Linked DNA regions of Canis lupus familiaris. The protein of the gene in region 1 purifies or fractionates together with the protein of each later gene. This does not show direct contact. Links are inferred from orthologs where the notes say so. Each region holds a gene or a part of one and is shown in the gene's direction. Other genes may lie near its edges.

Region 1 (3,744 bases):
TTTTTAAAAAAAAGAACCCTGGCAGACCCCAAGTGAGGATGTAAGCCATTTTTATTATAATGTTATCTCAACACACACAAACACTACACTATGTACAAACACGTGTGCATAGCTCTTATACAAGCAGGAAGCCAGGATGGACTTTGATTTTATTATTATATTTTATTTATACCCCAACTTTCTTTTTTTAAGTAGGCTCCACACCCAACACTGGGCTTGAACTCACCATCTCCAGATCAAGAGTCCCATGCTCTACCAAGTGAGCCAGCCAGGTGCCCCTGGAACAGATTTTTTTAAATTAACCACCAAGAAAACTACAGAAATAAGAGTACAGAGACAGGAGTAAGCTAGGGCTGCTCCGGCTAATAGGAAGCTGCTGGCCACCCAGGGCCATTCCCACTGCAGTGAAGTACAATGAAAAATCTGGGTCCTGCTGGGTGGTGGCACTGGCCCCGTGTCAAGGGGTCAGCAGTCATTTGTGCCAGGGTTACACGGAACATTTCCACTTCTTCATCCGAGAGTCACCAGGCCACAGGTCCGCTCTGTCACCTGGGGAGAAGCACTGCCCACTTGATGGGTCCCCTCCTGCCCGCATCCCCATCAGCCTGCCCCCCGGCCCCCATCTTCAGAAAACCGACTTGACTGTGGGGCTGGCCTCCACCGGGGTGAGCAGAGTACACAGTGTTTGGAGGCTGTCCTACAGGTGGCTGGGGTCTCCTGGACATTTAACACCGGTCACCGTCTCAGGGACCTTTCCAAGCAGACTCTGTCGCCGTGCTCAACAACTGCCCTTACCGTGGATGACCAGGATTTTCAAGCCAGGCCGGCTGGCTGTCAGGCTCATCACCCACCCTGGGGGGCACTCGCTGCTGCATCACCTCCTCCAGGGAGCCTCCTTGGATTGTCCGAAGCGCCTGGGGAAGGCCGAGAGAAGGGGAAGGTGTTCGCAGGGCGCCGCGAGGCCGGCCGGCGTTGGGCTCGGGGCACCCAGGTCTGACCCCCGCGGAGCGCGCGCTCCGGGGGCGGGGCGGGGGCCGGGGGCGGGGCCGGGGGCGGGGCCGGAGCGCCCTATAACAGGCGGCGGGGGCGCGCGCGCGGCCAGAGAGCGAGCGCGCAGCGGCGGCGGTCGACCCAGCGCGCCCCGGCCCGGCCTCCCGCGCCCCGCGCCCCGCGCCCCCGAGTACCCGCGCCCCGAGCACCCGCGCCCCGGGCCCGCGCCCCGCCCCGCCGCCCGCCAGGCCCCGCGCCCCGCGCCCCGGCCCGGCCCGGCCCGCCCCGCGCACCCCGCAGGCCACTCGCCGCCCGCGCCGCCATGGGGGTGGAGGGCTGCACCAAGTGCATCAAGTACCTGCTCTTCGTCTTCAATTTCGTCTTCTGGGTGAGCCCCCGGCGGGGGGCGGGGGGCGGGGGGGGCCGGGACGCCCCGAGCCCGGCAGGCCGCGCGCCCCACTAGGCCGCGCAGAGGGGCCACCTGTGGGCGCCGGGCGGGGGGTGGTCCGGGGCCGGCAGACGGGCGGAGGGGGTGCTGCGAGCCGGCTGTCGGGGCGCGGGGCCGGGCCGGGGCGTCCGGGGGGCCGTGGGGGCTGAGCCCGCCGAGCGATGGCGGGCGGCGCGGCGGGAGCGGGCTGGGGGCCGCGGGCCGCCGTGAGGGGACCACCCTGCTCCGCCGGCACCGAGGGGGCTCGGGGGGCGGGGCTCCCGGCGCCCCGCCCCCATGAGCTCATCCGAGCCGCCGCCCCTGGAAGGACGGGGGGGCGGGGGGCGGGGGGCAGGGGGGCCGCGCACTCGGTGCGGTCCTGGGAAGCCCTCGCCCCACGGCCGGCCCAGCAAGCCCTGCCGCCCCGGGGATGGCCGTGGGGGGCCCCCAGCGGCCCGCGCCTGGTGGGGCCGGCCCCCTGCACTGCCCCCCCAGCCCGGGGTTGCAGCCTGCCCCGGCCAGGACGCGGTGGAGGCTTTGAGGGGAGTGGGGCCAGGGCGGGCAGGGGGCCCCGTGGACCCGAGCGCCTCTGGGCCCCTCCGGAGCCTGGGTCCCAGGGGATGCCCAGGTCTGGGCTTCGGTCTGAGCTTGGACGTCCACCTTGGAAGAGGTAGCCACAGGATGTTCATCTTGGGGTGCAGGAGGGTCTCAGGGCCGTCAGGCTGCTGACCTGCAAGTCGCGTTTTCCTGGCCTGGGTGGTAACTGCTGGCCAGGAACGCTGGAGCTTTGGCTTTGTTTCGGTTTCCTGCCTGTGTTGGAGTTGGGGAGGGGCCCCGAGTGGGTGCAGGAACCCCTCTCCTGGCGCTGCCCTGCCTCCTCGTGGCCAGTCATGTTCCCCCCCCCCACCCCCCACCCCCCGCAGGACCTGGGAACCTTCCTGGGTGGCTGTGTGCTGCTCGCCACCCAGGCTGCTCACTCCTTCTGGGAAAGGACCATGACAACATCTGCTGGACAGTGTATTTCCCAAGTAGATGCAAGAGGGTAAACTTTTAAAATGGTCCCCAGAGCAAGTGTGTGGGATTGGGGACATCTGTTTCCGTTCTGGACATCCGAGGATCCCAGCGTGGATCTTGGGGCAGTGAGGTGTTTGGGGTGGCGGGGACAGAGACTGGACGGAGCTTTAGCTGAGGGTGAAGTGGAGGCATTGCCCCCCGCCTGGGTGGGAGGCACAGCTGGGGGTCGCTGTGGCCACTGGCCTCTGCCTGGGGAGTGGGGAGCACGGGGACTGTCAGGATGGGCCAGGTATGACCTTAACCATGCCTGGGGTCTTTGCCGAAGAGGTGGTGTTGAGTGTCGATTTAGTATTTGCCTGCTATGGCCTGGGTGTATAGGGGTCGGGGTGAAGGGACACCCAGACACCCCTCTGCTGGCCTCTGAGCCCCTCCCCTACCAGCGGAGCCTGGATGTGGGGTGAGGACCCTGACCAGGAAGTGGAGGGTAGACAGACATAGAGGCTGTCTTCTGGAGTAGATTCTTGTCCTTGGGCTGAGTGTCAGCTCTGGGTAAGTCCCTCCCCGCTGCCCAGCTTGGGAGGTCTCCAGGGCAGCCCGCGCTCACCTCCCAGCTCTGCTTGAGCGAGTCCGGTAGTTCCCCAGGCAGCTGGGCAGAGGCCTGACACATCCCCAGGGGCTGCTCTTCATTGAGGCTTGAGGAAACGTTTCCAGGCCTCTCCTCTCCCAGCCACCCAGCTGAGCACTCAGCGCTGCATCCCACGGTCCAGTTGCCTCGGTCCCACCCACCCCTGCAACAGACATGCAGAGCTGAGCAAGGTGGGGCTGGGGGCCACCACTGTGGCAGAGCCCCTCTCTGCGGGCGTCCCGCCTCACCTGGCTGGCAGCATGGTGCCGAGGGGCTGGTTCTGGGTGGTGGAGCCCTGTCCCCTCTGCTGCAGTCCTGGGCCTTGGAGTCCTGCCCCCTGAGGTGGACGTTTTCCACGTCCTGTCTCCCGGGGCTGGCAGATTAGCTAACACCCTTACAGGCGAGCTCAGGAGGTGGTCGTAGGGCACGGATGGCCGGCAGGAAGACTGCTGTCCTGCTGTCCTGGCCCGGTGTGGGCTGTGCCTCGGGGAAGGGGTTTCGGATGCCCCAGAGGGTGGTGGGTGAGGGAGGGCACCCCAGTGCCTGGCCTGACTCGCTCACTGTGCACCGTGGCCACCGTACAGGAGTGGGTGCTGAGGGGGAGCCGGGAGGAGACTTTGACAGTGGGTACCTGCATCGGGGCAGTTTTAAAAGTTTCATTTCAGAGAGTGAAAAGGCTCACACATGG
Region 2 (3,644 bases), on another chromosome or scaffold:
GAGAGGAGGCACCTGGCGTGGCCTACGGCCTTGACCTGGGTGTTGTGTTCCGCTATGTCTCTTCCTCTTCACAACGAAGAGTGAGCTCTGCCTCACATCCTTGAGGGCACCAGTAGTCTCCCATTAAATCACATCAGACTGTTCTGCTTTATCCAGCCTGGTGGTTTGTAGCCTGCTTACAGACACTCATGATTTTCCTTCTGATTTCCTCAAGTGCTATCGCACAGCAATTTGCACATAAAGTCCAATTTCCTTGTCATTTCAGACACATATCTGTTTTCACTTGTCCTGTTGGCAATCACCTCTTTCTGGTACTTCATTCTAGATTCTGTGCTCGTGGTGAAGGCAAGGCAGCCAAAGCCTTTCTTTGCTGCAGGGAATACATTTGAGATGACTTGCAAAGTGTCTTCCAAGAATATTAAGTCGCCTCGCTACTCTGTTCTCATCACTGCTGAGAAGCCTGTGGGGGACCTCACCAGCCCCAACGAAACCAAGTACATCATTTCCCTGGACCAGGATTCTGTGGTGAAGCTGGAGAATTGGACAGACGCATCCCGGGTGGACGGCGTCGTGTTGGAGAAAGTGCAGGAAGATGAATTTCGCTACCGAATGTACCAGACTCAGGTCTCGGATGCAGGGCTATACCGCTGCATGGTGACAGCCTGGTCTCCTGTCAGGGGCAGCCTGTGGCGAGAAGCAGCCACCAGCCTCTCCAATCCTATTGAGATTGACTTCCAAACTGCAGGTGAGCGAGGGACCCTATTGAACCACAGACTGAACCAGAGAGCGACCCTAGGATTTTGATCCAATGGCTGTTTTTTCTTAAGCACTTTTCCTCTTTGAGATGTGATTCACATGCCATATACCTTACTCATTTAAAGGGTATCCTTCGATGGCTTTCAGTATATTCAGAGTTGTGCAACTGTCACCACAGTCAACTGTAGGGTATTTTCATTGTACCCCAAAGAAATCCTGTATCCCTTAGCTGACACCCTTCCATTCCCAGCCCTCTAGCAACCACGAATCTATTTTCCTATCTCTGTAAACTCGTCTGTTCTGGACATCTATGTTACATTAATGGAATATAACATATGCTCTTCATGTCTGTTTTCTTTCCCTGTAGCATACTGTTTTCTCTCTTTTTTTGGTCTTATTTCGAGGATCATCCATGTTGTAGCATGTGTCAGTACCTTTCTGTGACTGAATGATACTTCACTGCATTTTGTTTTATCCATTTATCACCTAGTGGCCATTTGCGTGTTTCCAGTTCTTGGACTATTAGGAATGATCCTATGAATTTTTGTGTACAAATTTTTGGGTGTACCTACAATGCTTATTTCTTATTTTTAATGGATAAACCAAAACCCAGCTATTTTAGCTCCCTTAGAGAACACGGTGGAGTATAATTAAAGAGGGCACGGAGTCTCCAGAAGGGTTACATAACTTGCCAAATGTGTACGGTTCAGAGCCAAGACCCCAGTTGCATCAGGCCCCTGGCTTTCGCTCTTAGGGGTCCCTAGGACTGAAGGTGCTGGGTACTGTGTTTGGCTTGGCTCATAGACCAGTATTTCCACGCAGGAAATGAGTATCCCAGCCTATGCCTCACCTTGCTTTGGGACTAGAAAAAGATTTCCCATCAACTAGTTGAGTTGCCAGAGCTGTGGTGGTATGGATGAATATATCTGTCAACCAGTTCATTAATAGTTATTGGTGGTAGTCGTGTACGGCAAGGTTAACTAAAAAAAGGGCATTTTTGTGTCTATCCTGAATTGACTTTGTTTTTGGTTAAGTAAAATGTTTTTATGCTATAAGAACATGCCTCTGTTTCCTTCTAAGGAGTTTTTCAATTTCGGCTCTTATACTTAGTGCTATGATCTGTTCTAAATAAAAATTTTTAAAAGATTTTATTTGTTTGAGAGAGAGCATGTGTGCATGCACACACCAGCTGGGGAATAGGGAGAAGCAGGCTCCCCACTGAGCAGGGAGCCCAACACAGGGCTCAATCTCAGGGCTCTGAGATCGTGATCTGAGCTGAAGGCAGATGTTTAACTGACTGAGCCACCCAGAAGCCCTGATTTTTGTGTGTAGCAGAGGGTGGGATTCAGTTTTATTCTTTTGCATGTGAACACCCAGCCATTCTTACACCACTTGTTGAATAGCCTCTTCCTTTCCCCTTGACTTGTCTTGGCACACTTGTCAAGAATCATTCAAACATGAATTTAAGGATTTTTCTAGACTCCCAGTCCTATGGTGTTGCCCCATTTGTCTTTTCCTATACCAGTACCACATTGATCACTGTAGCTTTGTAGTAAGTTTTCAAATCAAGAACTATGACCCTTTGTTCTTTTTCAAGATTGTTTTAGCTATTCTGGGTTTCTTGCATTTCTGTATGAATTTTAGGATTACCCATTGATTTCTGCAAAAATGACATCTGGGACTTTGGTAGGAATTGTGTTGAATCTGTAGATCAGTTTGGAGAGTATTGCCATTTAACATTATTGCCTTCCAGTCCATCAACATGGAGCATCTTTCTTTTTATTTGGGTCTTTAATTTCTGTCCATAGTGTTTGTAGTTGTCAATGTACAAATCTTGAACTTCTTTCATTAAATATATCCTAAGTATTTTATTTTTTGATGCTATTGTAAATAGAATTGCTCTCAATTTCCTTTTCCATTTATTCCTTGCAAGTATAGAGAAACAGAGCTGATTTTTTATGTATTGTTATTGGATTCTGCAACCTTGCTAGACTTATTAGTTTTAATTGCTTTTTGGTTGATTCCTTAGGATGTTTTATTTATTTTTTAAGATTTTATTTATTTATTCATGAGAGATGCACAGAGAGAGGCAGAGACACAGGCAGAGGGAGAAGCAGCCTCCCAGTGGAGAGCCCATTTCGGGACTCGACCCCAGGACCTGAGCCAAAGGCAGACACACTCAACCACCGAGCCATCCAGGTGCCCCTCCTTAGGATGTTTTAAATACAATAAAACGGCATCTGTGAATAAAGACAATTCTACTTTTTCCTTTCCAAACTGAATACCTTCCAATTCTTTTTCTTGCCTAATGGCCCCGGCTGGCACCTCTAGAATAATGTTGTTGAATAGTAGCGTACAAGTGGACATCCTTGTCTTGTTCCTGATCTTACGGGGAAAGTTTTCAGTCCTTTACCATTAAAAGTCATCATAACTGAGTTTTTCATAGATGCCCTTTATTAAGTTGGGGAAGTTTCCCATTTATTACCGTTTGTTGAGTGTTTTTACCATGAAGAGATGCTGAATGTTGTCAAATGCTTTTTCTGTGTCTAGTGAGATTAAGATGATTATGTGGTTTTTGTCTTTTATTTGTGTATCTGTTTTACTCTCTGTAGGAGTTTATTCCATCTTGTTTTACATTTGTTATTTGATGTTTCTCTAGAATTGTTATGGGAAACCGGGGAGACATAAAATCTTTTGTATTTCTGAGTGAGGAATAGGTATTGCATCTATTTTTCAATTCTTTAAATCTCTGCATAACAGATAAAATGACTGTGGCTTCCTGCCTGCGGCTCAGGGTATGATCCTAGTCCAGGGATTGAGTCCCACATCAGGCTCCCTGCATGGAGCCTGCTTCTCCCTCTGTCTGTGTCTCTACCTCTCTCTCTGTC
Region 3 (3,744 bases), on another chromosome or scaffold:
TGCCCAGTGGCCGCCCGCCCAGCCGGGACGCAGCTCTAGGCCGGGCCGGGGCCCAGGGAGGACGCAGCGCCCCCACTGCTCAGCCGGCGGCCTCGGGGGGCCCGGGGGCGCTGCGCCCAAAGGCTGCGACTCCCTCTGCCTCACACCGAGCTCCGGGCCCGGCTCTGGGCGCCCGCCCTGCGTGGGCAGCGCTCGCCCGTCTTCGTAATTGCCCGGGCTTGGCTGGAGGCCCAGGGGCCGGTTCTGCCCATGATCTTTGAAGTTCAGTCTCCCCTGGTGGCTCCCCTCCCCCCAGACTTCACCGTCTGAGATTTGGGGCAGTTCCCTCCCCCGTCACCCCCATCTCCATCCTGGGCTGGGTCTCCCTTTGCTCACTTTCCCTCTCTCAGCTCCAGCACCTGGCTCTGTGGCCTCCCACCGCTCGTCACACCCCTTAGTCCCCCAGTCCCTTCCTGGGGAGAAAGCAGGCTCCGTGGAGACCAATGCTGGGATCTCCAAGCACCTTGTGTCTGTGAGGGTGGGTGTCCGTGGTGAGGTGTTCTGGCCACCGCTGCATGGATGCATGAGGGCACTGACAGCGCCATCGCTTTTGGCCTCAACTGGAGGGTCCCTTAGGAGGTGGTCTGGGGAGGAGTATGGCTTTGAGACAGGGACGCTGCCAGCACAGATGTTTGGGAGACTGAAGCTCTTGAAATAAGAGCGCAGAGTGGGGGTGGCCCTGCCCCCCGGATTCAGAGTTGCCACAGTCAAGGCGCAGGCTGACGAAACACCAGCAGCCCGTCTCTAGACCAGAGCTCCACTGCAGTGCCAAGCAGATCCTCCCCTGGCTCCATGGGTCCCTGGGCCCTGGGGAACTAGGCCTCCTTGGGCCCTAGGTGAGAGGCAGGAGGAAGTTGCTGTGGGGCCTGGTTGCCTAGCAGTTGGCCGGTTGTCCCTAGTGGATGGCATGGAGTGGAAGAGCCCAGGGGAGGTGGGGAAGTGTGATACACAGACGTGCAAGAACCTGCAGAGGTCTGAGCACCCATTGCGTGCAGATGCTTACGTTCATTCTGAAGAGGAGGAAAATGAGGTAATTTGCTCCAGAGAGCCCATCTAGTGAGTGTGGGGGCTTGGATTCGAACCCAGACCCACCTGACTCCAGAGCAGGTCTCTGCTGCCCCGCCTCCCCTCCTGGGCTGGGGAGAAAGCTGTCTGGCAGCTGGTTTCTTTCTTTCTTTTTTTTTTTTTTTTTTAAGATTTTATTTATTCATTCATGAAAGAGACAGAGGCAGAGACACAGGCAGAGGGAGGAGCAGGCTCCATGGAGGGAGCCTGATGTGGGACTCGATCCGAGGTCTCCAGGATCACGCCCTGGGCTGAAGGCGGCGGTGCTAAACTGCTGAGCCACCTGGGCTGCCTGGCAGCTGGTTCCCTAAGGCGGCCTGGCTGGCCTGCTTTCCCATGGGGATCTCCACAAGCAGCAGCAGCTGTGCGGCCAGGAAGGTGGGAGGGGGCCCTTCTAAGCAGAGTCTGCCCTGAAGCCCTAAGGTGTCAGCTGTCTCCACCATCACCTAGATTATGAAATGCCCTGGGGCAGGGCCCTCCTGAGTCACAGGCTCACTCACTCTCAGAGAAGCAGCCCTGAGCTCTCCTCCAGGAGAGGAACCGTCTTGGGAGAGGAAGGGACGTGTCAATCCAGCTGAGCATGGGGCTGTGTCTGGGACCCAACCTCCTGAGGCCCAGCATGTGCTTTAACCAGGCGGCCATGAGGGACTCAGCCACAGGAAGAAGGGGCTGAGAGCCCACTCACGTGGGAAAGTCAAGGGGAGCACTTCTGGAGGAGCTAGAAGGCAGAGTTTGACCGCGGACTTTGTGTTTTCCTCTGGCTTCTGTAGAAAGGCCCTGGGAATGCCCCTGGGAGTGACATTCTGGTTGGTGAGGTCAGTCCCCTCAAGCCTGGCCTGGGAGTTTCCCATCTTCCTCCCTGGCTTCGTCCCTCTGCAGGGGCCTGTGGAAGCCATCGAAGGGTAGTAAGATCTAGACAAGACCTCTGCAGTGTCTTGGTCAAGATGTACTTCTCCAGCCTTCCATCCCTCGTCTGTGAAATGGAGGCAGGGTGCTGACCGGGGGCTGCAGTTCTGTGGTTTTGGGGGGCAGGGGTTGGCTATGGAAGAATGGAAGGAGAGAAGGAAGAAGCAGGGCCTCTCCAAGGGCCTTGGGAGTGTCCTGTGGGGCTGGATAAAGAACAGAAATTTGGCCTCTCTGAGGAGAGCAAGATGGGAAGAGACAGCTGGGGACCTCTCAACAGAGAGGGGACCTTACATAAGCGAATGCACACCATATGCAAATGAAGGCTTTTGTTAGGGAGTTGGAGGTGCCCTGCATCAGCTGGGCGAGCCCAGAAGATTGGCAGGCCCTTGAGGGGGGGGAGTCTTCTGCCCCCAGAGGCCAGGGCAGAGGCTGGTTCTTGCCCCAGAAGCCTCAGCTGCCTCGGCAGTGCTGCCGGGTGGGAGAAGCAGTGAGCTCATGGCACAGCTGGAGGGGGGAGGGCATTGTGTGGTGAGAACTGGCTGGGTCTGTGCCCTGTCCTGCTCGGCCACTGGCTCCATTGTCTGGAGTCCCCTGGTCCAGGTGACACAGCGGAGCCAAGCAGCCCTCATAAGGAGGTGGACGTGTGGTCTCAGAACCCTTAGCTGGAAGACCCGAGGACCCGGCCCAGAGCGGATGAGGGTGGGAAATGCCGGAGGGACATGGAGGTGCAGCTGAAGCCAAGGAGAGAAAGCAGCTGGACCTCGCTCTGCCCGCGGGCGGCTCACCTCTGGCCTGCCAGAAATGGGATGTTTCTGGGTTCTGAGGCAAAGCCAGGTCTCTGACCCCCTGGAGACCCAGGTGTCCTACCAGGTGTCTTAGCTCCGGGCATCCTTCCCCTTTGCTCAGGGCAGGGCCCCAGCTGGGCCCCCACCCTTCCCCAGGTTTGCTCTCCTTTACCGGGCAGGGGTCCAGGATGGTACTGGCAGCGGGGGCTGCAGTGGGGGCCCAGGCCTCTCCAGCTTCTCCCGTCCTTTCCTACAGGAGTCCAGGGCTCTGCCCGGGAGGTGCTGGTCCCCGAGGGGCCCCTGTACCGCGTGGCAGGCACGGCCATCTCCATCTCCTGCAACGTGAGCGGCTACGAGGGCCCGTCCCAACAGGACTTCGAGTGGTTCCTCTACAGGCCGGAGGCCCCCGAGGCTGCTCTGGGCATCGTCAGCACCAGGGATACCCACTTCTCCTACGCCGTTTTCGGGCCCCGCGTGGCCGCTGGTGAAGTGCAGGTACAGCGTCTGCAGGGGGACGCTGTGCTGCTCAAGATTGCCCGCCTCCAGGCACAGGACGCTGGCATTTACGAGTGCTACACGCCCTCCACTGACGCCCGCTACCTGGGCAGCTACAGCGGCAAGGTGGAGCTGAGAGGTACCGGCCTGGGGTGGGAGCGGGCCCGTGCGCCCCGAGGGGACAGGAGGGGCCGACCTAGCGCCCCGCCCCGTCAGGTTGTGTGGCTGAGGAGGCTGAGGCACGGAGTCCGTGTGGGGCTCGCACACAGTCACCGGTTGGTGGCCGGCCCGGGGCTCTGAACCGGCATCTCTTCATTGCCGCCCAGCGCCCTTCCTCTTCTGTGGGGTTACCTCCTGGGAAAGGGGGAGCCGGTCCCCGCCATTCCCTGGTCGGGGAGCCCCCTCGGGGGAACAGGCTCCATTCCTGGGGATTCCAGGATGCAGATCTGGGGGC

Evidence for each region.
Region 2: the proteins of CD81 (region 1) and PTGFRN purify together in Homo sapiens (co-immunoprecipitation; 7 studies listed by BioGRID and IntAct, with this or other methods). This does not show direct contact. The link is inferred for Canis lupus familiaris from reciprocal best matches to the Homo sapiens genes CD81 and PTGFRN.
Region 3: the proteins of CD81 (region 1) and IGSF8 purify together in Homo sapiens (co-immunoprecipitation; 3 studies listed by BioGRID and IntAct, with this or other methods). This does not show direct contact. The link is inferred for Canis lupus familiaris from reciprocal best matches to the Homo sapiens genes CD81 and IGSF8.

Annotation. Positions count from the first base shown.
Region 1 is NC_049239.1:46,911,629-46,915,372, forward strand, and holds the start of CD81 (CD81 antigen), read left to right. Parts: upstream 1-1,113; 5' UTR 1,114-1,312; coding exon 1,313-1,378; intron 1,379-3,744. UniProt on the Homo sapiens protein: Structural component of specialized membrane microdomains known as tetraspanin-enriched microdomains (TERMs), which act as platforms for receptor clustering and signaling.
Region 2 is NC_049238.1:54,893,205-54,896,848, forward strand, and holds part of PTGFRN (prostaglandin F2 receptor negative regulator), read left to right. Parts: intron 1-325; coding exon 326-745; intron 746-3,644. UniProt on the Homo sapiens protein: Inhibits the binding of prostaglandin F2-alpha (PGF2-alpha) to its specific FP receptor, by decreasing the receptor number rather than the affinity constant. Functional coupling with the prostaglandin F2-alpha receptor seems to occur.
Region 3 is NC_049259.1:22,920,825-22,924,568, forward strand, and holds the start of IGSF8 (immunoglobulin superfamily member 8), read left to right. Parts: upstream 1-1,282; 5' UTR 1,283-2,729; coding exon 2,730-2,844; intron 2,845-3,051; coding exon 3,052-3,429; intron 3,430-3,744. UniProt on the Homo sapiens protein: Member of the immunoglobulin superfamily (IgSF) that links tetraspanin-enriched microdomains to the actin cytoskeleton and plays several important roles in innate and adaptive immunity.